4 linked regions of the Mus musculus genome follow. The protein of the gene in region 1 purifies or fractionates together with the protein of each later gene. This does not show direct contact. Links are inferred from orthologs where the notes say so. Each region holds a gene or a part of one and is shown on either strand. Other genes may lie near its edges.

The links.
Region 2: the proteins of Usp18 (region 1) and Map3k7 purify together in Homo sapiens (affinity purification with western blotting; 4 studies listed by BioGRID, with this or other methods). This does not show direct contact. The link is inferred for Mus musculus from reciprocal best matches to the Homo sapiens genes USP18 and MAP3K7.
Region 3: the proteins of Usp18 (region 1) and Stat2 purify together in Homo sapiens (affinity purification with western blotting; 6 studies listed by BioGRID and IntAct, with this or other methods). This does not show direct contact. The link is inferred for Mus musculus from reciprocal best matches to the Homo sapiens genes USP18 and STAT2.
Region 4: the proteins of Usp18 (region 1) and Skp2 purify together in Homo sapiens (affinity purification with western blotting; 4 studies listed by BioGRID and IntAct, with this or other methods). This does not show direct contact. The link is inferred for Mus musculus from reciprocal best matches to the Homo sapiens genes USP18 and SKP2.

What each region holds. Positions count from the first base shown.
Region 1 is NC_000072.6:121,242,667-121,250,638, forward strand, and holds the start of Usp18 (ubl carboxyl-terminal hydrolase 18), read left to right. Parts: upstream 1-3,239; 5' UTR 3,240-3,396; intron 3,397-7,972. UniProt on the Homo sapiens protein: Interferon-induced ISG15-specific protease that plays a crucial role for maintaining a proper balance of ISG15-conjugated proteins in cells. Regulates protein ISGylation by efficiently cleaving ISG15 conjugates linked via isopeptide bonds.
Region 2 is NC_000070.6:31,972,690-31,979,878, forward strand, and holds part of Map3k7 (mitogen-activated protein kinase kinase kinase 7), read left to right. Parts: intron 1-2,133; coding exon 2,134-2,244; intron 2,245-4,634; coding exon 4,635-4,700; intron 4,701-5,741; coding exon 5,742-5,787; intron 5,788-7,023; exon of another isoform or gene 7,024-7,046; coding exon 7,047-7,185; intron 7,186-7,189. UniProt on the Homo sapiens protein: Serine/threonine kinase which acts as an essential component of the MAP kinase signal transduction pathway. Plays an important role in the cascades of cellular responses evoked by changes in the environment.
Region 3 is NC_000076.6:128,282,086-128,289,274, forward strand, and holds part of Stat2 (signal transducer and activator of transcription 2), read left to right. Parts: intron 1-16; coding exon 17-34; intron 35-626; coding exon 627-720; intron 721-1,027; coding exon 1,028-1,072; intron 1,073-1,147; coding exon 1,148-1,231; intron 1,232-1,398; coding exon 1,399-1,497; intron 1,498-1,598; coding exon 1,599-1,734; intron 1,735-1,841; coding exon 1,842-1,894; intron 1,895-2,012; coding exon 2,013-2,107; intron 2,108-2,861; coding exon 2,862-2,998; intron 2,999-3,186; coding exon 3,187-3,369; intron 3,370-3,575; coding exon 3,576-3,633; intron 3,634-7,189. UniProt on the Homo sapiens protein: Signal transducer and activator of transcription that mediates signaling by type I interferons (IFN-alpha and IFN-beta).
Region 4 is NC_000081.6:9,115,109-9,122,297, reverse strand, and holds part of Skp2 (S-phase kinase-associated protein 2), read left to right. Parts: coding exon 1-61; intron 62-615; coding exon 616-746; intron 747-5,155; coding exon 5,156-5,207; intron 5,208-5,329; coding exon 5,330-5,437; intron 5,438-7,189. UniProt on the Homo sapiens protein: Substrate recognition component of a SCF (SKP1-CUL1-F-box protein) E3 ubiquitin-protein ligase complex which mediates the ubiquitination and subsequent proteasomal degradation of target proteins involved in cell cycle progression, signal transduction and transcription.

The sequences.
Region 1 (7,972 bases):
TAAATTCTTTCCTCTCTGGCACTGAAAACAAAATAAAACAACAACAAAAACCAAAAACATAAACAACCCCCCCAATTGTATTAGCAGCCTTCAGAAAAAGATATATTACCTCATAATTCTGTTTAATATTTAAAAATTTGAAAGCATATAATACCTATGGGAAAGCTGCACTCATGTCCTTTTCTGTACCCCTAAAAGGGCAGGTTCTCTTTCCCTCTTTCCTTTCTTCTTTCCTTTCTGCGGCAAAGTCTAACGTCGTATACCAGGCTGACCTTTAACTTGAAGCAGCCTTCCCTTCCTACTTCTCCTTCCCAGGTGTGGGCATTGCCGATGTGTGCCACCGCACCCAGCCAGAGTACGCTTTCCAGATGATGTTTCTTCTCTCTGATGCCAGAGTGGGAAATTATTACCACTCAGGCTTTCTCAGCTGCCCCCCGAACATCCTTTCCAGCGGAAAGATCCAGTTCAGGGCACGTGGTTTACCTTCACTACCGTGCTCAGGGGCTGTTCCTCATACCTTGGATTTTGATAACCTCGACTAGAAGACAGCTAGCTGATTTGCAGAACATCTGTCACTTGGGGTTACTCAGATGTTTCTGTGGAAGCAATCAGGGCAAAGGTCGGTGACAGGAGAGTAACAGGAGGGAGCTGTGTCCCTTTCTGTTCACGACATCCTGTTACATTCTGTTCCTCGGAGTGACTGCAGCTGTGCAGACACCAGTGATCTCCACTGCTGCGGGAAGGACACGGCTGGCTTTGTGACTACTTAGTGTTTACACCACTTGCTTTATCTGCAGCCACAACGTAGCATGACATGCGGGATGCTGCCGGTCATTGGTGTGTGTTCCTGGGAAAGTCCTTGGACGCTGTGTAAAATACCCAAGCCTCCCCCACTCTCAGTTTACTCAATTATTCACTTGCATTGGTACAGAAAACCATCTTCTGACTTCCCTCCTATTCTTTGAGCATTTGCCTTTCGGCAGAAAGGGGTCTGCTTAGGTTCCTCTTGTGCTTTTCTTTGCCCCAATCCGGGAAACACCATCTCCCTAAGCATCTCTGGTTTCTTTTGTTTGAGAATAACCACTAGAAGCCAGAAGCCATGTTGCCTCTGAGTGTCATCCATCCATGCACTCTCAGTGGGGCAAGCTAGGGAATGTACGCACACATACACACGCACCCCTCTCTAACTACTCACCGAGAACCACGGATCTATGCGAACCCAGAGCTGCAGGTCTTGGGTCCCATTCTTCACCTTCAACTCTATTCCGGGGCAATTTCAAGCAAGTGACCAGTTCTAAACTGTTGTGGATTTGCTCACTTAATTCTGCTTCTGGGCATAACTAGTCTCTCAGCTCTACCAGTGCCCTCTCACGTGGACCCATTCCTCACCCTGCCCGTGTCTCCTCAACACATGGAACCCCACTCCAGTTCTCTAGGCTCTGAGGCCCAGGCGAGCCACATCTGCTCTATATATGAATGGATTCTCTAACTAGAGTAGGTTCTGACATGGGTGGTGGGCATATTGTCTCTCCACCAAACCACCATCCTGGGTCACTGTGGGGCACTGCTGGAATCTACTTCAGGAATGCTTACCAGCTCAGTCTACCACCTGGTTAGAGCCCTGAACTTTTCTGAAAGGCAAGGAGAGACCAGGGGTAAGAGCATGGAGAGTCCTACTAGGAGTTATAATGGGTTCTTGCATCATCTAGGTATCTCCTGTCCATGATTGACACTAGTCCACTCCGTACTGGTACAAATGCCAATCACTTGCTTCACTGAACAAGCAGGGTTGGGAAAAAAAAGTTGCTTGGCTATAAGGAGCTGTTTGCTAATCACCACTGGGAACAAATACAGTTTGTTCCCTAGAACTCTACAGGTACGATATATTGATCAAACTATCACATTTTATAACATCCTCTTTTCATCCTCCCCCCCCCCCCCACCAGTTTTTGATGTTCCTGTTTTTGGATACAACCAAACAGATAGAAGAAGAAGAAGAAGGAGAAGAAGAAGAAGAAGAAGAAGAAGAAGAAGAAGAGGAAGAAGCTGGTCACATAATTGATTGATTTGCAAATGTATTGGAGACTTAATGTATTTGTCCATGATATGTGCAGATGCCACATTGTCTACCTCAACCACTGATCAAGAGACTTTGTTTTACCCTGAGGGCCATACCCCACTTTCTATTTCCAAACATGGACATCTTGGTTTATTTTCAACAGCTGTGTATAACTCATGCTTCACACACACACACACACACACACACACACACACACACACACACACACACACACACACACTATAGGCAGGCAGACATATTTGTATATCTTACGTTGAACTACAATAGCAAAACAGAATATAGACTCTTCCAGATTTCATAAAGTCCTGGTAGCTTTCGATTAGGGGTATGTATCTCTCTGTCATCTTTGTCCAGTGCTGGGGGTAGGGAGTGGAGGACCCCTCTCAGAACAAGCGCATGGGGAAACCTCATTCTGACTAGCCCAGCAGCTAACAGATCCCCCTCTCCCTCAACTTATAGCCTCATATACAAGATACATCTGTAAAGAGCTAGCAAGCATTTCATGTATGTACATCCCAGAGCCTCCAAACCCGGCTCGGCTTAGACTGTATTTGTTCCTCGCAGAGCTGTACCTTCATGGCCACCTCGTGTGCTAACTGCAATGGTCTGCTATTTTCCACAAATGGTGGGACTGGTCAGAGGTCCCGTTAGAATGTTGCTTTCAGCACTTAGCCATTTGTCGTCCTGAGTTAGTCATAACCTCTTTGATAAAATAAAAACATTTTATCCTATAGAATTGGGGTTAAACGTAGAGGCACAAAAGAACATTGTGCAGATAAACTTATCTTCAGTGTTTAAGGATAAGCCTGGCAATTAACAGAGATGAAGTAAATGTTATCGCTGTCTCCTTACCCCCTGGGGACAGCCTCAGCAAGGGAGTTATCTGCTGCTGGCTTTCAGAGCAGAAGGTACAGCAACTGGGAGTATTTCCAATCTTAACATTGCAGATGAAAAAAGAGAGCGTATCCAGGAGTTACCGGGCCAGGTCCGGCTTGTCGTGTCCTGGTGTAGGCGACTGGACTGCGGGTTCTGTAGGGGCGCGTACAACCGCTCCGCCCGCCCGCCCGGTGCCTGAGTTTCGCTTTCCTTTGGATCTAGGGGAAAACGAAAGCTTGGCGGTGAGGGGGGCGTGGCCAGGCGTGCAGAAGGCTTGGCCGGCAGTGCCAGGGCGGCTGTGCCTAGGGGACAGCAGACACTCCTGAGCTGAGAGGCTGGGAGGCAGCAAGACTGCTCTGCTCCGCGGTGCCGCGTCCTCTTCTGTAGCCCTTTGCAGATGCTGCTCGGTCTTCGCTCTTTGGCTTGACTCCGTGCTTGAGGCAAGTTTGGGGCTAACTTTGAAAGTGTCCTTTATCCGCCAGAACTTTGCTTATACATCTCCAGATGATTAGGAATTTCCTTGGGTTCTGCAAATAGTGGCGGTCTGTATTCTTGGCATGTATATACTGGGCCAATGGATTTGCTTCCCAAGCATTTATATTATTCAGACTGTAGTCGTGATTTATGTTTAATTTAAAAAAGTAATTACCAAAGTGGCTTGTTAAAAATTCAAACAATGCAGACAGATGTGTAGAGTTGTTTCTCTTAATTTGCAACTCAGTATCATTTTTATGTATACTTTATCAGAAACATTTCTAATGGATATCTTTAACATTGCTCTGTGTCTTGCTTCTTGTTCTGTGCCTTTCTAGACCAGTATTTTAACTGATGCGTTGTATGAGAAGTGCGGATTTAGTTAAATAATTCATGGACATTTAGGTTCGGTCCTGTTTTTCCTGGGATAGACGTTTTATCAACAAATATCATTTTTATGCTCTTGTGCAAATACTCAGTCACACGTTAGGAGAAACTCCTAAAATAGAAACCAGCGGACTGAGAAACCGGAGAGATTTTTGTCCAGTATCATAAGTCAGGGTGCTTTAGACCTGTTCCCTGGCCTGTTTTTCCATCTTCTGTAAAGAAAGCTAAATATACCTTTAAGAAAAAACAACAACAAAAACCAAACAAACAAAAAAACACAACCTCCCCCAACTCCCCTGGAAGTCCAAGTTTGTGGTGTTTCAAAATTACAACTTAACTTCATACTTAATATCTTTAGAATTAACTCAAAAAGTGAGGCAAATATTTCAGAACATTTTTAGAATGTTTCCTGTGAAGTGTCCTTTGTGTGTTTGAATACCGTCACCTCCTTTGTTCATAAGAACTAACTGGGCAGAAAGTGGCGTAGCAGATGAGGTGTATGCTCCCTTCTGACTCACTACGCACTAGCAGAAGACTTTAAAAAGAGAGAGAGCTTTTTGCTTGCTCTCTCTCTCTCTTTTTCTTCTTCTTTTTTCACTCTGGAAAACCGTGCTTCATGGTCTTGGCACTTTTACGCAACATGATGTTTATAAGGAAGAAAATCACGTTGTCTCCCAATTGAGTGTATCATGTGACTGGGCTGTGGCCAGAGCCCCAATGGGCACATGAAAGGTGTATCAGCATCTCCAGGCTGAGGGCATGTCTAAGGACAGGCTAATGCATATCATCCCACACCGGCCAGAGGAGCCCCAAGTAGTGTGTTAGTCTGGGTTTCCTCTGGAGAGATCTGATTTTGTCTGTTACAGCACCATAGCTCAGAAGAGGCGAGCAGATTGTTAAGAATGAAGGCAACGCCCAGAGCAGTAGTTCATACCTTTAGAAATCCCAGGGATTTTAGCCCTAGGAAGGCTGAACGAGGCAGGGGGAGTAGAGTTTGGATCTGGTGTTTCAGCTCACACTTGTAATCACAGCATTGGAGGGGGCCGAGGCAGGAGTTTTGCTGAGACTCTGAGGCTAGCCTAAGCTACATAGTGAGATCCTATTTAAAAACACCTGTGCGCAAAAGTTTGAGGCCAGGGGATTTCAATACCAGGGCTTGTCTCAGAAGGTTTGAAGACCAGGCTACTTAGATATTGCTGGCATTGTGAATTTTATCGGGCATTTCTATCTGGGAACTGCTCTCCCCAGACCCCCAATGTGTAACAGCTAGGGAGGGACTCACCACCCAGAATTCCCGTATTGTGTCACTGGCTCGCTAGCTCTTGCTCTCAAGACCCTTGCTGATTCTGTAGCCTGTGGTGGTTATTTCCACCATCTCTCCTCATTGCAAGCTTCAGCAAGGATGGAGGTAGTCTTCTGCTTTGGAGTCAGCATGCCTCGAATCAGTGCATGAGTTTGGGAATGCAGCGTTCTCGGAGCTGGCAGCTGTATGCCTGGTTCAGCCTCATCCTGTCTGCCCACTTGCCCGACCATCGTACATCTCCACTTCCTTCCTCATGGTGCTCTGCCTACCTGCCTGTCCTCCATGCGCTGGCTCTGCTACCCAAGCCTGAGCTGTGTGTGTGCTCTGCCCAGTGAGAGAGCTGCTTCCCTCAGGCCAACGCTAGACTATGTCTGTTCCATCTGTCTGTCCATCCGTCCATTAGTTCATTAGCTATTAACTCTGAGTTCCAGATAATGAACTGATTAGCAGTAAACAAAACCTCACGTATTTGTTCTGCTACCAAAGCAAACTGCCTCCGAGCAACAACCCACCTTCCTCCAGCCTCATACCCTTGCCTCCCCACAAAGTAGTTATCTAAATTTGATTTTTACTTTCTATTTAGAATTTTATTTTTACCATACACAAGTATTGACAATTTTCCATTGACATTAAGTTTGAATATATAGTAAGAAATCAAATAATGTTTTCCAAATTTTTCTCGTGGTGGTGGTGGTAGTGATGTGTGTGAGTGTGCGTATGAATATTTGTGTGTGTTTGTGTCTCTGTGGATGTATGCGTGAAGGCCTGAGGTCACCTTCAGTGTAGTTCCTCAGTAGCTTTCTATATTGTTTTTTGAGACAGGCTCTCCTATCCTGGAGACTATATGCAGGTGTGCACAACTGGTTTTTTTATGTGAGTTCTAGGGGGTCAGACTCAGGTTACAGACTGAGTCATCTCCCCAGTCCTGTGATTGGCTGTTCTGAGCAGATATTTTGTTTTTAAAAGATTTATTTACTTTTGATTTATGTGCCCCAGGGTTTGCCTGCATATGTGTGTGCATCACACAGAACAGGACCCTCAGAGACCCTAGAGCTGGAATTCTGAGTTGCCATGTGGGTCCTGGGTTCTCTGTAAGAGCAGCAAGTACTCTTGAGGCTAGGTCATCTCTCTAGCTCCCTTGAGTAAATATTTGGCTTCTGAGATTCAGCCTGTTGTGACATGTGCTGTAGCCTATCCACAGCCATTGATGAATGCACGTTATCTGTGGGCTGTATAATACAAGCCATGCTGATATGATCGTGTTTCACATGTCTCCAAGGACACATTGGAGAATTTCCTTACAGGGGTTTAGATGTAGTTCAAGTGTAGATCAGTTGCCTAGCACTCCAGAAGGCCTAGATTCATCTTAAGCACTGCAAACAAACTAGCTAACAGAGAGGGGGGGGGAGGGGAAAGGGGAGGAGAAGGGGAGGGGAAGGGGAAAGGGGGAGGGAAGGGGGAGGAGGGGAAGTGGGGAGGGAATGGGGAGGAAGAGGGGAAGGGAAAGGGGGAGGGAGAAAATTTGGCATTGAATTTCAGTTTAAAAGATGATGATATGAAAAATTTTCCTCAGTTGATTTGGGTCTTTTTATTACTGTCTCATAGTATCATATAAAATATCCTATTTAGGAGGCTGGCATGGGATGGCAGTGGATAAAGACATTTGCTGCCAAGCTGGACAACCTGAGTTTGATTCCTGGGGCCTATGTGGAAGGAGGTGACTGGCTAACAGGTTGTCTTCTGACCCCCATTTGTGAGCCATGGAATTCATGTATGCACACACACACACACACACACACACACACACACACACACACACACACGATAGATAAATAACAACAAAAACTTCTAATCTTTAAAAATCATGTTTAGGTCCAGCAAGATGGCTCAGCAGGTAAAGGTGTGTTCTACACAAGCTTGGGGCCCTTGTTCAACCCCCAGACGGAAACCACTCAGTTGAGCTGTCTTCTGGTTTCTGTGTATGTGCTATGGCACACATCCATGTGTGTGTACACACACATTCCTAAGCACATATCCATGTGTGTGTGTGCACACATACATTCCTAAAATTTAAAAAGAAAAAAAAATCCTATTTACCCTTCCCCTCTCCAATACTTAGTTCAGTAAAAGTTTTCAATAGACATTTCATTTTTAATTGGCACATAGGAATGGTACCAATTCCTCCTGGGTGTGGTGGCCTTGTTGCCTGCTATTCTGATACTCAGGAGGCTGAGGCAAGTCTTGGCTACAGAGTAACATCTTTCCACCACACACCCTCCTCAACTGGATTTTTATAATCAAAGGCATAGTGTATTGCTTCTCAATTCAGCACATTTGTAGTGTGTGGTGATCAGATTCTGTCAGAATTACTGACTGTTCCCAAAGGGATAGGGTAAAATGACATCATATCATGGTGTCACTTGGGTTGCCACGACTGGTAGCTTACCAGTTAGTAACTTTCTTCACTGTTGGTGTTTCCTTCCATTTTCTGTTTGGAGTTACTTATGCAAATTTACTTATGCAAATCTTCTTAAAATGCTCTGTAAAACTTACCCATATCCCCTTTCCCCAGAAAACCAGCTTTTCCACACCACCCATATTACTTTACTCTTTGCATCAAGATTCAACAAGGTCTCAATAAGGTGTCATTCTGTAGCCCAGGCTGGCCCCAAACTTATTATTCCTTTTCCTCAGCCTCACAAGAGCTGGAATTACTGGTGTTTAGCAACATGCTTGGCCTAATACCCTTAGCTCCTATACCCTTCTACCTTCTTGTCTTTAGTAAACTTGGCTACAGTCTGACTTTTTCCATGACAACCAGGCTTAGGTTACTCATTAAGCCATTGAGTTCT
Region 2 (7,189 bases), on another chromosome or scaffold:
GTGTTGTTTTATAATGTTTATGGAAGAGCCTGATTCTATAACCCCCTATTAGATACTCTTATCTCCATAGATATGAAGGAAAATAACTTAGGAACCCTATAGACACTCAGTAAGGAAAATAACTTAGGAACTCTATAGATACTCACTAAAGAAAATATAAACATCTATGCTTTACTGTCCAAAAAAAAAAGCTCAGATGTTAATTTACCTAACAGTGAGCAGGACACCTAACAGTAAGCTTGATTATAAAGACTGACATATTCAAACCAAAGCCAATTCCTAAATCTTCCTAAAGTAACTGGATGCTGAGCATGAATCACCAGTGCTGGATTCTTTTTGAGGCTTGGAAAACAAGATGGTCTCTGAATGGCCAAGACCAGGAAATGGAAAAAGTCTCCAAAAGAGCCAGGCTTACTTGGGACTTTGCATCTAAGCAGCCTTGTTACCTTTAAGCTGAGTATGAATTACCATAGCATGTGCTGGTAATGCTAAGCTGTAGGTTTCGGATCCTGCCTCGGAATACTTTCTTACTGTGTAATGTGACTAAATTGCATCCCTATGACTGCTTACCTTTCAAATGGAAATGGATTACTTGTGCTAATCTGGGGGAAAACACCACCAGAATGTGCTCATCTTGTGGTGAGCACTGACTGAGAAGTAGTTACACGCTTTACACAGCCTATGAAGTGGAACTGGAGCCTGACTAGCTAGTTCACGTACCCCAGGCTACAGCTCCTGCCCTAGTGTCTCCTCTTCCCTTTGGGAAGTGATCGACCCAGTGTAGATTTTGAAGAACAACTATTTGATCACGATCACTAGCTATGCCCAACTTTGTTGTTGAGTTTTATATAATAAGTTGTCTTAAGTGGACTCACACCTAAGGAGCACATAACTGATCCTAGTATATGAAGTGTGCCATACATGTTAGAACCACTGGTATTCTAGTGTTGGGTTGCCTACCATTAACTGTCCTGTACTGTTTGTTACCTGTGTACGGCTGAGAGAGTGAGTTGGCATGTTTAAAGCCATGTGCTTTACGTGTAACATGAGGAGAACATTAGCACCTCCTTGTGAGGCTTTATAAAGAGGGATGTGGGCAGAGCACTCTCTCAATGCCAACTAGCAAACAGTCTATAAAGATGTAATGAGTGGGGTGGACCTTTCCTTGAGGAAAGGACCTTGCCATAGCATTTAGCTACATAGAAGGTAGGAGATTGGAGATGAAGGTGCGAACCTAGTGCCCTTCACAGTAACAGTCTAATGGTTTTGATCTGACAGATACCACGCTAATTTTCATTTTTGCTTTTTAATGCTTTTAAAAATACTTGGATTTTTCTAAGTATTTTTTAAAATAGAGGAACTTGACAGAGCAGTGTGCCCATGTGATAGCCATTAGTTTTAGCAATAATGTGGCATATGGTTGGTCTGTATTTTTATAACTTTTTAAAAGTAATAAGCTAATTACCTATCATAAAGCTTACCCATGTGAAGTGTGATTTATTGATTTTTGTGAATTTACCCAGTTGTCAGCCATCACAGTCAACTTTCAAACACATCACCACCTTGGCAGGATACCGTTTACATTAATTCCTTTTTGATCCTTATCCCAAGGCAATCACTGACCTGCTTGCTGTCCCTAGATTTCTCCTGGGCATTTTATAAATGGGCATTGTAATATGAGGTATTGGGGTGGGGGTCATTGTGTAGACAGTAACACATTTTGCGTGTCCTTCATAGTGGGCCTTTTATATATATCTTTAGCCCTTTTCCTTCCATTTCTTACCCCCAATTAGAGTTATTTGAAAGCTGATTTTATTTTCTTTAAATAGTATATGTTCTTTTTCATTTTTATTTTTCTGAACCACTTCTCAATCATCTTTACTTTAATTTTCTACTGTGATTAAAAATTGCCTTATGTCTTCATGTATTTTTTGTGTTTCTGCTTTAGAATTAAGAGGTTCATTTCAAAGATTAAAACTGCATTTTATCTTCACTTTAATGAAAAACTCATTCTTAGCAAATTCAGATAATGGTGGTTTCTAAACCTTTGATGAGACTTAAAAACTGCCTCTATCATATTAAACTCTGCTTCTGATTTTTGGGGGTTTTCTATTTGTTTGTTTGTTAACTCAGGTTGTCGGAAGAGGAGCTTTTGGAGTAGTTTGCAAAGCTAAGTGGAGAGCAAAAGATGTCGCTATTAAACAGATAGAAAGTGAGTCTGAGAGGAAGGCTTTCATTGTGGAGGTAAGCTGAGACGTTATTTGTATCCACTAATTCTTCACCAGAGCTACTCTGATCTTAAGACTATAAAACACAGTGTTTCCCACCTTTCTTTTTTCTGTGTACATGGACGTTAGCAGTTGACTGAACTGAAAGTAGTGCCTCCATAGGAATGTTTTTCATTTTTTTGCTTTAAATTCTGGTTAAAAGTTATTAGGGGAAAGTATAGTTACAAGAGTCGCTCCATGAATTCAAGTGCACTTATCCACGGGTTCCAAATGTATCTCAAGGTTTCCTATCTTAATTTTAAAGTGGTATTATTCCTCCCAATACCTAAAGTTAAGAATTTCTTAGAATGTTATAGAAATAAACACCTTTCTAGTGAGAAACTACTCCACACACTTAGACTTATAAGAAAAAGCTCTTGACTGAAAGTGTGGCCAACTGTGGCTAGCACCCAAAGAGGGACCAACCTCAAATAAAAGATTTACTAACTTAATTCACTTTAGGCTTATGCATTCCACAGATTCTGTCATCCTTAAATCTCTTCTAGGTCCTGGCCCCGGGTTACACTTTAAAAAATATAAGTCAGGAGACTGTAAGTCTGGCCACTTACACAGATGAGAGATTTGCATAGTGCCAGAATTATTATTATAACCAGGGTTTTTTCTTTTCAAATGGTTGTTATCTAGGGTCTTCTTGCCCATCTGGCAGAATTATGTTTTTGTCAAGAAGAGAACAGGGGGCTTTATGCAGCCCAGGACTTAACTTTAGCTGTGACCTTGAGCTGCCCCTTACGCAGCCAGTTAGAGGCAAGTTCTTTGGGGGTGGCCAGTGAATCCTGGTGAGCAGACATTTACATGATAACAAAGTAGTTTAGCTCATCACCTTCTGTCTGGTTAGCAGACTACTTAGCTTTGGGGCATTTTGGAGGCAGCAATGCCTTAAAGTTTAGTCTGTGTGGTTGCTGTCTCCTAGAAAAATCTGTTAGTAAGCCCTTTATAACATCAGCTTTATTCGTTTTGAGTTTCTTCTACATAATGGGTTTTATGAAATTAACCATGTTGCTGCTCTTGTTTTCATTGCTTGGTTCTAGGTCTGCTGGGCCAGTTATTACTCATCACTAGCTTGTCAACTTCCAGATGGTATACTATTATCTCATTGCAGTCTCTTCATCCTCCTGAGTTTCTACCTCACAAACAACAACAAAACCTCACCTACTTATGAGACTCAGAGAAAACGGAAAAACATGCTTGAATAATGTGCTATGTGAAGTTAATGATGAGTTTTGTCAAGATGGAATGTTGATAGATAATAAATACATAATAGTAAAAAGTTACATGAAATAACATTTTAGAAAAGAGTCCGCTAATTTTCTAAGGATGAAAAGTCCATGAATATCAACTATAAAGAAAACTGTCCAGTGGCATATGATAAAAAAGAGGTTAAGTTATGGGACTGTGGAGAAAAGCAGGAGAGAGCAGGGGAAAGAGGGGGACGAGGGAGAGAGAAGGAGCAACATGATGTTGTATGAGAAAGACACAGTGCAGAAACTTGATACCTTACACTGGGGACCAGCCTCAGTGTAATTCCTGGCTTGGGGAAGGCTGAGACCGGAAGTTGGAGTGTCAGTCTGTCTCTCCTACCCCTGAAGCTCCTCTCCACTTTTTTGTACTGGGGATTGACTTGGGATATATGGTGGACTGGAGCTAAAGCCTAAGGCGTACTAGTCAAATGCTCCACAACTGAATGCCCCCCCCTTCCACTCACACGCACACGCACACACACACACACACACACACACACACACACACCAAGCTCTCTGCAGTAACTACAAGACAGGAAATGAAATTAGAGGCAACTAACTATTCAGACAGAGCATGTATTTCATGTCAGGTAAACAGAAGCTCAAATCTGACTATAGAATCTTTCACAGCTGCTTTATCCTCTCTGGAGCTTAACCTCAAGGGTCATATTAAAATGGAAGTAATAGGTCCTATCTTTCAGAGTCTGAACGCAGCAGGAATACATACAGAATAAGTAAATTGATACCTGTAGGAAAGTACCACACTTCTGGTGTGGGTGGCTCAGTCAGTACCATAACTGAGATGGTGCCTTGACTTTTGGCAGCTGGTTTCCTCAGTTTATCCTGGCTTGTTCTTAACTCCCATTACAGCACTTTGTGCATGGTTTAATGATCTCTCTGTCTTCATATATTTGATTATGTCTGTGTCCCCACTTGAACTGTAGGATAGGGATTCTACAGGCACTGGGGATTGCCACTGCCTGTGGCCATCGTGGTAACAGAACATACCTGGTATGATTTGAACAAATGTTCTATATAAGATTTGAACAGCACGGGTACATAGCACCTGAAAACCCAGCACTTCTTAAGGACCCATAATTTGTTGCAGCTCCGGCAGTTGTCACGTGTGAACCATCCTAACATTGTCAAGTTGTATGGAGCCTGCCTGAATCCAGTAAGTCCCTCTCCATCTCCTACAGGAAACAGTGGCAAGTGTGTCCGTTTATATGATTTATAAGGCTGTTTTCATCTGTTCCACTGTAGCTTTATTTCTGAAAATATTTTCTGCATTTCGTTTGCTTCAAGCCCTAACAAGACAGTATGTTGGTGTTGTCATCTCAGGTACCTATTAGCCTTGGCCACACCAACTTATAGTGCTCCTTTATCTTGAGTAAACATTTATTCTCAAAATAATTTAAATTCCAGAAAAAATGTAATTTGTTCTTCCAAATTTTTACCTTCCCCACTGATGGACCATGCGTGTAATTGTTGGCCAAGACAGATCACCTGACATTCCTGTGTTCCCACTCATCTGCCTTCCTTAGCTAACCTGACAGTGGTCAGTGAGGGCCAACAAAGGGGAACTTGTCAGTCCTTTCCTTTTCCTCTTTTCTGCCCTGTAACTGCCTACCTGTAAGCAGTCAGTGGGTTCTGCTTCTTCTACTATAGCCCATCTGAGTAAAGCCTGTGCTGTCGTGGAGTAGTGCATACCCCTCCTGTCCGTTCTCCTCACTAACCGAGGTAACCCATAACTCACCTCGTTGTAAGACTTGATGTCCTAGAACATAGCTTTATTAGCACTGGTCCTCAAAAGGTCTTATAATTCTTTTTCCCCAAAATTTTGTGATCTATTTTATAGATTAATATTCATTATAATATACTATATCATATATAACTATATATTATTACATTATAATATAATATATATGAGTTTTATATAATTATACTAATATATAACATAGTATTGTATTTTTATATTATAATAGATATTAATTTAGTGATATTATGTAATGTATAGTAATATTATGCTAATCTGAGCAGACACCTTGAAGACAAGTTCTTTGATCACAGATACCTGTACCTTCTGTTAGTGTCATTCACAGAGTAGGAGCCAAAAGAATAATTTTCAGGACAGTCAGGCAGTTAACTAAGTTTTCAGCAGGGAGGGCCTAACAATGTTGCCACTCCAGTAAATTCTGGCATATATTTTCTTTAGGTATGTCTTGTGATGGAATATGCAGAGGGGGGCTCATTGTATAATGGTGAGTATTCACTAACCCTGCTTTTACCTAGGAGACTGAAGCAATTGGAACGCTTTTAAGAACAACTAAATCACCTTATTGTTGTCACAGTTTACCTTCAGAGTTCTCAGAGGAAGTCATTGTGCTTTTTGGGTTTGTTCATTTGTTTGTTTTTGGTTTTGTTTTCACTGCTAAGGACTTAGGGCAAGAACGATGTATGACATTTATATACATTTTTAAGTTAACAATATATTATGTTCAAAGTTTGTGAAGTAACAGTTGTTTTTAAATACATATGTGTAGACTTTTTCCCACCCTTCTGTTTTTTAGTTTGAAGCCTTCATTTTAGAACTCTGGGCTATATTTCATATTACCGTGCTTTATAACGCTTCCTTTTCAAAACATAAAATGGCAAGAACAAACGTCACAGAACGTTTTAGATTTTTACTTTCCTATCGTGACCATGACCAAGGCAACTCAATAAGAGAGAGTTTAATCGGGCGTACGGTTTCAGAGGGTGGGGCTTTGTAGCAGCAAGCATGTGAGAAGGCATCGAGCACACTGGGCATGGCAGAGTCTTGAAATCTCAAAGCCCACCTCCACTGACATGCTTTCTCTAGCAAGGCCACACCGCCCAGTCCTTCCCAAACAGTGCCATCATATGGAGGCCAAATTTCCACACATGAGTCCATTGGGCCATTCTCATTCAAACTACCAGTGCTACCACACAAAACCTTCTGCACTGCTGGCATTACCCTTAAAATACCAACTTCATGTGTGTGTGACTTGTCCCTGAGAGCTCTATAAAACCAATAGCATTTACTTTTAAGTTACCGTTATTTTACATACACATTTAGTTATACCCACTGTCGTCGTTGTTGATTTGTGTCTACTGCTCTCATTTTATTTGCGAAAACTGCTACTTTTTTAGCTACAATACACAGGATAGTTGTAAGCATCTTATATGGCCATCTTGTCTCAATATTGTTCTCTGTTTCAACCTCATAATGAACAGGATTGCTTATAATTTATGTGATTGTGTGAAAGGTAATATCAATTTTAAGAAGTGTGATAGTATGTGCTGATTTTATTTGAATGACCATATGGAGTTATTTACTAAAATTTCTTAAATATTATTATTTTTTTAATCTCAAAAAGGCTTAAAAGTGGGACTGGAGTATTTGTAAAGGAATACTTGTTTGGGTGTTTTGATGCATTTATATTGTTTCATATTATAAGCAATAAAGTTCTTTTTAGTTTGTCGTGCCTTTCTCTTACAGTGCTGCATGGTGCTGAACCATTGCCTTACTACACTGCTGCTCATGCCATGAGCTGGTGTTTACAGTGTTCCCAAGGAGTGGCTTACCTGCACAGCATGCAGCCCAAAGCGCTGATTCACAGGGACCTCAAGCCTCCAAAGTAA
Region 3 (7,189 bases), on another chromosome or scaffold:
TTCTCTTTCTTTTCAGGAATTCAGACTTACCAGGGTAAGTGCCTGATAAGGACATGTACATGTGTTTATGACCTGCACAAACACACGTGGGGGTTCAAGGGAGGAAGGGGACTTGGGGGGGGCACATGGACAAAAGGAGAGGGGGAAGTCTGAAGTGAAGTGGAATTTTGGTTTACTGCTAAGTTGTATTTATTTTAATTTTTTTTTACAGTTTGCTTAGAAAAAGAGTGCGTATGTGTGTGTGTGTATGTATATACACACACACACATACATAATCAAGAGAGAAAAATATGAAAGTATGTGTAAACCAGAGGACAACTAGTAGGCATGCTCTCTCCTTCCACCATGGAGTTCTGGGAATCGAACTCATGTCTTCAAACTTGTCCGCAAGCCCATTTACTTGCTGAGTCAACCCACTATCCCTTTCCTGCTGTTTTTAAAAACTAACTCTGAGCAAGCCATGGTGGAACACACCAGAACTTTCAGTACTTCAGAGCAAAGGGGCAAGAGAAATGTAGGGAAATACAAGGCCAGCCTGGGCTACACAAAGAAATAAGGAAAGAAAGAGAGAGAAACGAAGACACTAACACTGCTCTTTGTCTCCACATATTTTCTCCCTGGAACAGCTTCCGGAAGTTCAACATTCTGACCTCAAACCAAAAAACCTTGACCCCGGAGGAGGGCCAGAGACAGGGCTTAATTTGGGACTTCGGCTTCTTGGTAAGAAGGGTAAGAATTGGAGTCTAAGCCGGGCGTGGTGGCGCACGCCTTTAATCCCAGCACTTGGGAGGCAGAGGCAGGCGGATTTCTGAGTTTGAGGCCAGCCCGGTCTACAGAGTGATTTCCAGGACAGCCAGGGCTACACAGAGAAACCCTGTCTCGAAAAACCAAAACCAAAACTAAAACAAAACAAAAACAAACAAACTAAAAAAAAATTGGAGTCTAATCCGGAGGAGCAGGAGCTGGGGCATTTCCAGGCCTTGGCCTCTGGGTCCCTTCCCTGACGTTGTGTTTCCTGAATTCGCAGACTCTGGTGGAGCAACGCGCTGTGGGTGCAGGAAAGGGCAACAAGGTAAGGCTGGCGGGTCACTGGAGCGGTGAGCTGAGGCCAGGGACTCAACAGGCTCTGATCACTGTGACCCCTCAGGGGCCGCTGGCAGTGACAGAGGAGTTACATGTCATCAGCTTCGTGGTTGAGTACGTGTACCAGGGTCTGAAGATGAAGCTGCAGGTGAGTGACGGGAAGCGGGGAGCGAGAGAGGCAGCAGATTTAGAGGAAGGGTCAAGGAGGGCACCAACAGAAGCGTCCTGGAGTGGGTGTCCTTGCCCACGCACGGACGCAGATGCCTGCAGTTATAAACATCCCGTTCTCCACCATAACTCCGGTCTTCCTCCCAGACGGACACTCTCCCTGTTGTGATTATTTCTAACATGAACCAACTCTCCATTGCCTGGGCCTCCATTCTCTGGTTCAACATGCTCAGCCCAAATCCCAAGGTAGGAGGAGGAGGAGGCGGCAGCAGCGGAGGCGGCGAGCGGGTGAGGGGCAGAGGTCGCAGGAAGGGCTGCTTCTGAGCCGGCTCACCTGAACCCTGCAGAACCAGCAGTTCTTCTGCCAAGCTCCGAAAGCCCCCTGGAGTTTGCTGGGACCTGTGCTCAGCTGGCAGTTCTCCTCTTACGTTGGCCGAGGCCTCGATTCTGAGCAGCTGGGCATGCTGAGAACCAAGCTGTTTGGTACGGTTTTTCTTTTTGGTCATTCCCTAGCCTTGGCTTGCCCCTACCAGAGTCCTCTGCCTGGCCTTGGCCTCCTTCAGTCATCCGTCTGTGACTCTGATCCACAGGAAAGAGCTGCAAGATGGAGGATGCGCTGTTGTCCTGGGTAGACTTTTGCAAGGTAACACCCTGCAGCCTGTGTCCCGCTAGTCCCCGGTCCAAACACTGGGCACACCTCTTCCCTTCCCCCCACCACGGGCAGCTCCACATCCCTTCCTGCCTCTCTGTTCCTCCTTCAGCGAGAGAGCCCCCCTGGTAAGATCCCTTTCTGGACCTGGCTGGACAAAATTCTGGAGCTGGTGCACGACCACCTGAAGGATCTCTGGAAGGATGGGTAAGGCCTGGCGTCGATTTCCTTAACTGAGCTCAGGACTGCACTTTGGGCGCCCCCTGGTGGCACAAGGGAAAGAAAAAAAACCAACAACAAAAAAACAAAAACAAAAACCCAACCCAATACGGTGCAAGTCCCCATTAGTAATAGCAGTTGTGGTCTGAATTTGTCAAGCATCCACTGTGTTGCAGAGCCTGGAGCCTGCAGGGTGCTTCTGTTCGCGCAACCCCTCTGACCACACTGAGTGGCGGAGTACTTCCACCTTCAGTTCCATGAGGAAACACGCTTAGAGAAATTGGGAACTCCTCGATCAATGGACAGAGTTGTGGGGGCGGGGTGGGGGGCACGAGTGGAGGCGCGGAGGTGTGTCAGTATGTCTCTATTATGTGGCTCTGGCTGACAGTCCTGGATCTTGCTGTGTAGACCACATTTGTCTGTCTACGCTTTCCTCTGCCTCCCAAGCGCTGGGATTAAAGGCATTCACTCCTATGCCCAACCCTATTATATTTTTATGTATTTATTTTGTGTGTCTGTCTGTCTGTCTGTCTGTGTGTGCACGTGGGAGCGCCTGCCTGCGCACACCCGAGTGCATGTGGAGGTCAGAGTATAGCTTACAGGGGTCGGTTCTCTCCTTCCACCATGTGGGTCCTAGAGATTGAACTCAGGCAACCAGGCTGGCGTGAGGTACCTTTCGCTGCAGAGCCATCTCCTCACCCCTCACCTGGGTGCTCTCCTCAGTCTGTCTACTCTGCTCCAGGCGCATCATGGGCTTTGTGAGCCGCAACCAGGAACGCAGACTGCTGAAGAAGATGTTGTCTGGCACCTTCCTACTGCGCTTCAGTGAAACTTCTGAAGGGGGCATTACTTGTTCTTGGGTGGAGCACCAGGATGACGGTCAGCACCCTCCCCCGTACCATTCCTGCAGTCTGCTTTCTGCCAGGCACCCCATACGGACCCTCCCACCCTGACCCTAGGTCCGCTCTTGGAGTGGGGGTGGTGTCTGTTTGGGGTCGGTGTCTGTTTGGTCTGGGAACCCCGGGCCTAGTCTCACTCACTTCATGTTACCACACTATGTCCTTCAGATAAAGTCGAAATCTACTCAGTGCAGCCCTACACCAAGGAAGTGTTACAGTCACTCCCACTGACAGAGATCATCCGCCACTACCAGGTTCTTGCCGAAGAGAACATCCCCGAGAACCCACTCCGCTTCCTCTATCCCCGAATCCCTCGGGACGAAGCTTTTGGGTGTTACTACCAGGAAAAAGGTTGGGGTCTTTAACATACATCCTTCCTAGAATGAAAGTGTTGTCAGATATTGATAGATTCGGCTCCCTCCCTTCACACGCAGGACAGGGCTATACAGAGTGTGCAGTAAGGAGGTAACCTTGTCAGGACCGTCTTGCAATAGGGGAGCGCTGACCTGTGTGACCAGCAAATTGATCTCTCCCATCTCCTGTCTGTCTCCCCACAGTTAATTTTGAAGAACAGAGGAAATATTTGAAACATAAACTCATTGTGATCTCTAACAGGTGAGACACAAACCCTTCACTGGGAGTTCTCTGGCTGACAGTGCTTCCAGCTGCCTAATTCCAGTTGCTCCCCACTCCTCTCCCCCCTCCCTAACTCACCAACCTCTGGTGTTTCCCCCTTTGAGCTGCTCCTCTCTCATGGCTTCCTGCTGCCATCTGTCTTTCCACTGTCTCCCTTATAGTAATGATCACAACCGTTCCTGTTAACGGGACCTTTCCTGATGACAGTAATAGATTTTCTGAAAAAAAAAAAATTTTTTTTGTTCGGTCCTTTAGAGGACCCACTGGGGTAGGTAACAGCAATGGTGGTCATGTGAGTGTCTTTTAAGTTACACGGCTTGGTCAGATCAGTCAACCAGTCAATCAGTTGGTCGACTTCTTTTCTTGTGGTTGTTCTGTTTGAGACAGAGCTATTGGCCTGGAACAGGATATGTAGATCAGGCTGGCCTTGAACTCACCTAGTCTCCCTGCCTCTGCCTCTCAGGTGCTAGAGGTAAGGCACTTGCCACCAGTGCCCGGCTTATTTTTCAATTTACGTGTGTGCACGTTTTGCCTGCATGTATGTACGTGTACCACTTTTGTGTCTGGTGGCAGTGGAGGACAGAAGAAGGTGTCAGAATCCCTGGTCCTGGGATTACAGAAGTCTGGGGGCTGCCATGTGGGTGCTGGGATTCAAACCTGGGACCTTGAAAGAGCATCAGTACTGCTCTTAACCGCTGACCCACCTTTGTTGCTTACTCCTTTGTTTGATGCAAAGTCTCATGTCGCTGAGGCTGGTCTTCCTCAGCCTCCCCAAGTGCTGGGCTTACACCCCCATTTCTTTTTTTCTGTCCTTCATTTGTTTGTTTTCTGAAATAGGATCACACTCGGAAGAAGCCCAGGCTTGTCTGGAGTTCATTATGTAGCTATCCCTCACTAGCCTTGAATATGTGACAGGCTTCCTGCCCTGGCCTTCTGAGTGCTAGAATTGTTATAGGAGTAAGCTTGCTCCGCCTGGGATTGGGATTCATTTAATTAGCTATTCTAACGGTGACACAGTACCCCACTGTGGGTTTGCATTTTCCCGATAATAAGTTAAACGCCTGTTTTTCATACCATTTGCCATGTGTGTATCCTCCTTTTGAGGAATGTCTGTGCAGGTCTTCAACCCAAGCCAGGGGTGGCAACATGGGCCTGTAATCCAGCACACGAGAAAATGAGGCAGGAGGATTGAGCATTTGAGACCAGGCTGGGTTACATTAATGAGACCCTGTCTCAAAGAAAAACAGTAGCTCTTTGAGCCATTTGTAAATAAGATTATTTGCTTTTTGAAGATATATTCACTTTTACCGATATGTGGGAGGGCTTTGGCTTCCGTGCCTGTGCACCACATGCCTTGAGTGCCCTCAGGGGCCAGAAGTAGTGGTCACCAGATCCCCTGGAACTGGAGTTACAGAAGATGTGAGCCTCCATGCAGGTTCTGGGAACCAAACCCCAGTCCTCTGCAAAAGCAGCCAGTGCTCTTGACCACTGAGCCATTTCTCCAGCCACTTATTTCCCTTTTTACTGTTGAGGGTTTTCTAGTTCCTTATAGCTCCTGGATATTAAGTCTTGGTTGAGTGAATAGTTTAGAAGTGTTACTTCCCACATGCAAGTTGCCTGTTAACTCAGGTGATTGTTGCTTTTGCTGTGAACTTTCTTAGTTTGACTTAATTGCAGTTGATCTGGTTTCTGCTTTTATTTTGTATGCTTTCAGGGCTAAGTTATTGTCTATAGCACAGTTGCAAGGTTTTCCCTTTGAGATTTATTTTATTGTAATAATACATATGTGTCTGTGTGTGGTATGTAGAAGAGGACTTCCCATCTCCAGGGTCTGCAGTTATAGGCAGTTGTGAGCTGTCCCATGTCGGTGCTGGAAATTGAACTTAGGACCTCTGCAAGAGCAGAATTCTCTGCAAGGTTTTCTTTTAGAATTTTATTTTTTAAGTTGTCTTTTTTTTTCCCCTAGACATTCTTTTAGAATTTTATTTTTTAAGTTGTCTTTTTTTTCCCTAGACAGGGTTTCTCTGTGTAGCCCTGGCTGTCCTGGAACTCACATTGTAGACCAGGCTGGCCTCAAACTCAGAAATCCGCCTGCCTCTGCCTCCCAAGTGCTGGGATTAAAGGCCTACGCCACCACACCTGGCTGGTAGATATCTTTTTTTAAAAGATTTATTTGTTTTATTTTTATGAATACAGAGTTGCTCTCTTCAGACACACCAGAAGAGGGCATCAGATCCCATTATAGATGGTTGTGAGCCACCATGTGGTTGCTGGGAATTGAACTCAGGATCTCTGGAAGAGCAGACAGTCCTCTTAATGGCTGAGCCATCTCTCCAGCCCTCTTTTAGAATTTTATAATTTCAAGGTTGTTTTGTTTTGTTTTGTTGGTTTTTTTCTGAGACAGGGTTTCTCTGTGTATCCCTGGCTGTCCTGGAACTCACTCTGTAGACCAGGCTGGCCTCGAACTCAGAAATCTGCCTGCCTGTGCCACCACTGCCTGGCTAATTTCAAGTTTTATGTTTAGGTCTTTGATCTCTTTTGGGTAGGTTTTCTTTTTTTCTTTAAGAGTTTTTGTTTGTTTCTTTGGTTTTTTTCTTCAAGGCAGAGACAGGGTTTCTCTATGTAGCCCTGGCTGCCTTGGAACTTGATCTGTAGACCAGGCTGGTCTCTAACCCACAGAGGTCTCCCTGCCTCTGTCTCCCGGGTGCTGAGATTAAAAGTGTGTGTGACACCATGCCCTGCGTGAGAGGTATTTTTTAATTATGTATATGTGTGTGGGGGGGTGTACATAGGAGTGTAGGCACCTGTGGGACCAGTGTGTGTGTGGGGGGGTATGTACATAGGCGGGTAGGCACCCATGGGACCAGAGTCCTCTGCTCTGAGAGGACCGGGGTCCTGGAGCTGGACTTACAGGCAGTTGTGAATCTCCTTACAGGGGTGCTGGGAACTGAACATGAGTCCTCTGCACTTATGTTACGTACGTTATGCCACTCAGTGTGCACTCTCAATACCCGAGCCTTCTCTCTAGCCCCCTGTGTTGATTTTTAAGTCCTGTTTATTTCTGTACGTGTGTATGTATGTGTACACATGTGTATGCGTACCACAACCCATGTATAAAGGTCAGTGAACAATTGGCAAGAGTTGGTTCCTACTTTCTATGGTGTGGGTCTTGGGATTGGACTTGAATTGTTGGGTTTAGTAGTAGCTGCCTTTACCTCATGAGCCATTTTTCTGGCTTCATGATTTTTATATGTGGCAGATTATACATATCTAGTTTAATTCTTCTGCAGATGGATTTCCAGTATATTGAGGAAACTGTACTCTGTGTGTGTATGTGTGCGTGCGTGTGTGTGTGTGTGTGTGTGTGTGTGTGTGTGCGCGCGTGCGTGCGTGCGTGCGTGTGTGTGTGTGTGTGTGTGTGTGTGTGTGTGGTGTGTATATATTTGTCACCTTCATTAAAAAATTAGCTCTAGATTCATGGATTTATTTCTGGGTCTACATTCTGTTTCCTTGGCCCATATGTCTGATTTTATGT
Region 4 (7,189 bases), on another chromosome or scaffold:
TTTGTGGGTGCTCTGGGTTTTCTGAATCTGCCGTGGCGACTCTGCTAAGCAGCTGCTCCAGGTAGGAAAGCTCTGAGCTGTCACAGTGAAGCTTTGCCTCTGGGTGTCTGGATGGAGTGGCTCCACATTCTTGACTTGAGCAGTGTGGTGTCTTTGCCACTCCAACTTTCAGGCTAAGCTCAGTTTGTGGGGGTGGGGGGGGGGGGGAGGTGTTACCGTTTGTAACTATGTCTCCTTAGTGATCACTAGACGTTGACTTTGAAACTCTCTTGAGGCTCTCCTAGCAGGAGAGAATGGGGAGAAAGGCATTGTTAGAGCATCCTCTGTGGGTTTTAGAGGGCATTTGTGTTGATAGCCGTCTGTGCTAACAACAATGTAGCTTTGAGGAAGAGACATTGGAGCTACAGTTTCCAACCTGCATTCTCAAACGGAGGCTGGGGCCTTTGCCCAGATGACCGGGGACCTTTCAGTGTGTAGGAGTTCAGAGAAAGAAATGCCTTTTCAAATGAACAACACCAGGAATGGTCTGTGCACGCAGCGGTCAACAGTCTGGCTTCCTGCGTTTCCCTTGTCCTGATGGACTCATGCTTCTCTTCTCACCCTTCCTTCCTGCAGACTGGATGAGCTAAATCTCTCCTGGTGCTTTGACTTCACTGAAAAGCACGTGCAAGCGGCTGTGGCACATTTACCAAACACCATCACCCAGCTGAACCTCAGCGGCTACCGAAAGAACCTCCAGAAAACAGGTTAGAGCTTCTTAGGCCAGGGCCCACCGAGGCTTTATGGTGGCCCACCAGGGCCCACCGAGGCTACCTGCTTGTCTCCCTTAGTCCGGTGTACCGGTTGTCTGGGTCTTCAGCCGAGGGACTGCTCATCAGAAGAGTTAGGCAAAGGCAAATAGCTTCTGGTCTGGGAGCAAGCTGTGAGTCCAGGGCCTAGACGGCGAGTGCTTTAAAGCTCTGTGTGTGTGTGTGTGTGTGTGTGTGTGTGTGTGTGTGTGTGTGTCTACTTGAAGACCAAGGTCAACATTGGGTGACTGACCACCTCAGTAGTTCTCCATGTTTCTTTTTTAATGTTTCCTTGTATGTGTGGGTTTTCTGCCTGTATCCCATGTGTGTGCAGAGTCTGTAGCGGTATCAGACCTTCTGCAACTAGAGTTAACAGACCCCTTGTTGTCTCGTGTGCTCTAGGAACCAAACTCCTGTCCTTTGCCAGAGCAACAAGTGCTCTCAGCCACAGCTCCGCCTTTTGAGTCCTTCTACCTTATTTTATAAGACCAGGTCTCTCAGTGACCCTGGAGCTCATTGATATTGCTAGACTGGCAGGCAAGCATCTATTTGCCCAGTCCTGAGGTTATAGGTAAATGCTATGCCGCCTAGGTTTTTGGGGGGTTTTTCGTTTTTTTGTTGTTGTTGTTGTTCTTTTTTCACAAATGCTACAAATCAAACTCAAGTACTTTACTGACTGAGCCAACTCCTCAGTCCCAGAACTGTTTTTTTGTTTTGTTTTTTGGGTTTGTTTTTGGTTTGTTGTTGTTGTTGTTGTTTTGGTGTTTTGTTTGTTTGTTTTTTCCTGGAACTCACTCTGTAGACCAGGCTGGCCTCGAACTCAGAAATCTGCCTGCCTCTGCCTCCCAAGTGCTGCTCCACCACTGCCCAGAAGAACTGGTTTTACTAAAATAAAATTACTATGCAGACCCCAATGTAAATGTAGGTAAATACAATAAAGTCAGCCCTCTCAATCTATGGGTTCTGTATCCAGATTCAACCATTAACAGATCAAAAAATAATCAGGAAAAACTACTGTATCTGTATTGAACATCTAAGAACTTTTCTCGGCATGAGTCGCTGATCAGTTGAGTGTAACACACAGCATTTACATCATATTAGATATAAGTAAGCAGACAAGAAGATGTGCATAGTGACTTCAGTGCCCTTGGATTTGAGCATCCAAAAGGGAACCTGGAGTCATTCTCCCAGGGATACAAAAGCATGCCTTGACTGAGAAGTGGCTTTTATCTAGGAGCAAGCTTTGCTTACAAAGGAATGGTTTTGACAGTCTCAGGGCAGGTGTGCTGCTGCCATCTAGTGGTCAGCAGCCAGAACTGCTGCTGAACAGCACAGAAATCCAGCAAAATTGTCAACACTGTTAGGATTGAATAATCCAACTAGAAACCTGATAAGTTAGCATTTACACCTTCAACTTTTTAATTCATCTAAAAGACAATGTGGGTGAACACAGGCGTTTCAAGTCAGGTGGGGAATAACCATAGTGTTGGTCAAGCTGACACTTGGCTGTTTTTGTGCTCTGTGTGTAACACTGAGAGTCTTAATTTGTACAGCTAAGAGGTTGCAAAAGGAATGGTGTTTGTTGTTGTTCTTGTTGTTCTTGTTACTCCATAGCTCAGCCTTGGGCTAATATTCAATCTAGCTGCATGAAGCCAAATCAATTTAGGTACTAAAATCAACCCCGCCCGGTGTCTTGAGCGTGTTATTAGCTCACCCTGGGGAGAGGTAATTTACTTATTATGTTTAAAAAGATGTGAACCAAACATCTTGAAATGCATCCTAACACTTAGGTTGTATTTGGAAACTGTTTGTCTGGGGCTTGAGAAGAAGAAAGATCTGTCAGGCTAACATAATTGGTCTTCATGAGTGGTCTGAGATCTACATTTGAACCATTGTCATTGCAGGTGCCTGTCTTCAGACAGAGAGGCAGAGTAGACCTGTAAAACTGCAGCCATGTCTTGATTTCCTATCACTCCTTATGCGGTACTTCGACATTTTTCCCTTTAAACACTTTATATTCTTATAGAATAATTATATGGCTATTCTCAGAAATCAAGATGATATAAAAATACACAGAGCAAAACAGACACACCACGAGCAGACTTCCTGAATGCTATGAATGAAGCTAGAATGGAGGGAAGAGAGTAAGGCGGAGTGGGTAGGTCGCCTGTAGCAAGAAGGGACTGCCTTTGTATAGAACGGCCAGGGAGGACCTCTGATCCTATAAACACCTGAATACATAGAGGTTTGTGGAAGGACATTCTGGTGCAAGATGTGGTGACCAAAGAGAAGACCTCTTATCTAAATGAGAAATACGTAGGCGCTTGTGGGAGAACATTCTGGAGCAAAGGACCATGGGTACAAAGGCCTTTGGTGTGGGAGCTAACCTATGAGGTGGAGCAAAGGACCATGGGTACAAAGGCCTTTGGTATGAGGTGGTAGCAGAGGTAAGGCCGCCAACACAGTAGGAAGGAGCTGTGGCTATGCTGAGCGAGGCAGTGCTGTGACCTGACCTACCCTTGAAACTATGCACTCTGGTGCCACATTGAGAAAAGGCTGGAGGTGGGGGTGTTGGGGGAGGGGCAAACAGGGAGGACAGTTAGGAAACTAGGGTGGTAATGGCTGAGGTGCTAAGAAAAAGGATCAGATCTGAGCACATTTGGGACTGGCATAACAGGATTTGGTGACAGCAGACTGGGTATGAAGAGGAAGTAACACAGTTAACTGTGATCTCATGATCTCCAAAGTTTGGCCTAAGACACTGAACCCATGACATTATCAGGTGCTGTGCAGTTTAGGACAGGGACAGAGCCAGGGCAGGAACGGACTGTTTTAGACATAAATCTGGGTGAGTGCCACATAGCCAAATCAGTATGTTGAGAAAGATTTGAAAATACAAAACTAATATAGAGGAAATGTGACCACAGATACATCTATGAGAGTAATCACTCAAACATTACGTGGAGGTATCTATTTTAAATCAGTTACATTTTAAAAATTTGTTTTCCATTTAAAAAGTACCTCAGTTTATGTCACTGTCACCCTCCTACAATTTCTGCACAGTGTATAATCCCAGTGCTCGCTCTAGTGGCAGGCAGGTCACAGCCTGGCATGGTCCCTTCAACCCTTTCCTTTTCTCTACTTGTAGGAGGTTGTGTGTTTTGGTGAAGATTACAGTGCACTTTGTGTGTATTTTGTTTTGTTTTTCATGCAAAACCTTTCCTGGCATTTGTTTTCCACTTACTTGTTTTGGAAAGCGGAGGCTCTCAGGGAATGTATCATGGCCAATGCATGATGATCAGAGGCCTTGCTGGAGTCTGTTTCTCCTTCCACACCGCACTTGTGAGGCCTGATGGCTAGTGCTTCTGCTGAGAGCATCTAGGCAGCTATTTCACTAGTATCTCTTGCTCCACCCTTCTGCAGATGTTTATGCTCTTGATGTATTGTTTATCCTTTTTATGTTTTTTTTTTGTTTGTTTTTTTCGAGACAGGTTTTCTCTGTTTAGCCCTGGCTGTCCTGGAACTCACTTTGTAGACCAGGCTGGCCTCGAACTCAGAGATCCGCCTGCCTCTGCCTCCCAAGTGCTGGGATTAAAGGCACGTGCCACCACCACCCGGCCCGTATTGTTTATCCTTAAGACTATTAATCTATTTAGCTTATGTCAAACACACCATTTTTCCGACACTTCTATATGATTAGCATGGCAGAGCTTTGTTTTATTTTTGAGGCAGAGTGTGACTATCTAGCTCTGGTTGGCCTAGAACTGGCTATGTAGTCTAGACTGGTCCACCGTATGCAGCAGTTCTTCAGCCTCTGCCTCTCTGCCCTGGGATTACAGGTGGCTTTTCTTTGTGTGGACACTCTCTACCTAACCCGAGAGTCCGCAAGTAATTCATTGAAAGTTGCATTTATAACCCAAACATATATGGAATTTACTGGGTTGTAATCTGAGTTGGAAACTCATTCTTACAGTTATGGCAGGACAATTTTTTAATAAGTGTCCATGATTCCCCTCACTGAGCTGAAGAGACCTCCTGGTAAGCTGCTGTTTGCCTTTATGGACTGGCATTTGGTTCTATTGGGGTTTGTCTTTCTGTTTTCTGTTATGAATTGGGATTTCCTGGTCTTTCCAGCCAGTTACTTTGCTACATAAAGAGTTGTAATCCAGGGGTTCCCACAGTTCCTTTAACATTTACGGCAGATTCCCAGGTGCTCTCCTGGATGCCCTCGGCAGGAAACTTCTATGTTGGGACAGTCCTGTGTAATGTCAAACTTCTCTATCTGCCTGCCTCAGATGCCCCATACGTCCTCCTCCTGCCTTGTTTAACAGTGACCATGACCATGACATCTGTTTGCCTTTTTCTAGATCTTTGTACCATAATTAAACGATGCCCCAACCTCATCCGCCTCGACTTAAGGTACTGTTTTAGATCAAACTTTGGAGTACATTGGCTGTTTGTGAACTGGGGGAGGACCTAAAGCAGGGATTAAGCAGCAGTACTCTCGACCATCATGGTTTGACTCTTCCTTTCGGTTGCAGTGACAGTATCATGCTAAAGAATGACTGCTTTCCAGAATTTTTTCAACTCAACTACCTCCAACACCTCTCGCTCAGCCGGTGCTATGATATAATACCTGATACTCTACTGTAAGTATGATTTACATTTACGCTGGTGAAAAAGCACAGGCCAAAACTCGGTAGTAAAATCCATCTTTAGATGGATGAATACATGTTCAAAGCATGAACATTGATATTGATGTGCCACAAAATGCCCAGGAAAGAATATCGAAATAGTTCACAGAATGTCCAGTAATCCTGAATCGACTAAGCTTATTAACTAACTAACAGCTACTGTCTTAGAATGCTATCCTAGTGTCTGTGAAGGAGGCTTTTTCCTCTGGGGCACCCACAGAGAGCACGGAAGGCATGCCCAATGTGAGTGGGAAACATCTCCCATTCATTTTTAAAGCTCACAGGGAATTCCTGTAATCTAATGATGGGCATCTCGGATCGTAAGAAGAGGTGAGAAGAACTGGTCTATGAGAGCCTGATGTTATCTGAAAAGAGGGCATCTTATGTAGGTCCATGAAAGTTAAGAATCTCATGCAGGCATTGCTTACTTCATTCCAAAGTCTTCCTTACACCAAATAAAAGTGTACAGCAGTTTCACTGCAAACCACTAGGGCTTAGAACCTTGCACTCTCCCGGGTATACTGCAGAAGAGTCATCTGGCTTAGAGGAGAGTATGGTACTATTTATCCTACTATCAGAATGCCAGTTTTTAATTCTTCCTACCTAGAAATGGTGAATTTAAAAACAAATTATTTCTCAAATGAATGGATTAGATCAGTTTCAGTAATAAATGATCTATAAAGAATTCGGTAAAATTGGGAAGTCTGGTAATTATGTGACTAAACCAATCATTTTAACTAGTCTCATGTGTGTTGGCTAGCTAGTGTCCTGTTTAGAAAAACACTACCTAAAAAGGATGCAAATGTTGCAGCTCAAATTCACATGCATGGAACTCTGATACAAATCCCCAAATGCAGAATTCTAGCATCCACAACTCCTAGGATCTTCTAGTGTCTTTGAGGTGAGGAACACATCAGAAGTTCTTAATAGAAATACCAGTGTGTCTCAAGGACACTGTCCACACAGCAGCCGGAAACACACTGAAAAATAGCTCATGTCCTATCTCAGAGATGGGAAGGGGCAAGGCCTGACTTAGTGTCTTTTTATTGTTTTTGAGATCAAGTCTCACCATTCATTCCCTAAGCTGGCCTATGATCCAGCCTCAGCCTCTTGTATGATGACTGCCTTTTCATTAAACTTGAACTAAGAGCCCTAAAAGATGCTATCTTAACTATTTTACACAGATTAAAGAGCATCCTGTAAACGTATCCTGTTCCTCTCATGCTGAAAAGTCAGACGCCCCTGACTGGTTTTCCGGCATTGTAGCCAATGCACACAAGAGGCAGTGATGGGTTTTTGTGGTGGGGTCTCATCCTGCCTCCTGCATGGATGGCCAGGAGGCGCCTCCCAGAGCTGCTGCACGAAGCTCCCTCTGCCATCTGCCAACACTCGCTTTTCCTTACTCCCACCGAGCTTCTTCTTTTAAATATTATCCACCATAGATGACAAAGAGCTTGGCTGCCTGGATATCCCAGAACCTGAATTCTCCCAAGTGTCCCCATTCTCAGATGTCACATAGGAGTTGTACTAGGGACTGCTCTCCTCTTTAGTGGTGATGGGTGTAACCTCGTCTACAGTGCATGGCAGTTCTTTGTTTGTTTCTACATTCCAGAAGTTCAAAGATGGAATGTGTTCCTCTTCTGTTTTGATCTCTTGTGACCTCCTGAACTCGATGCCCCTTATAAGCCAACACATTTCATTTCTACG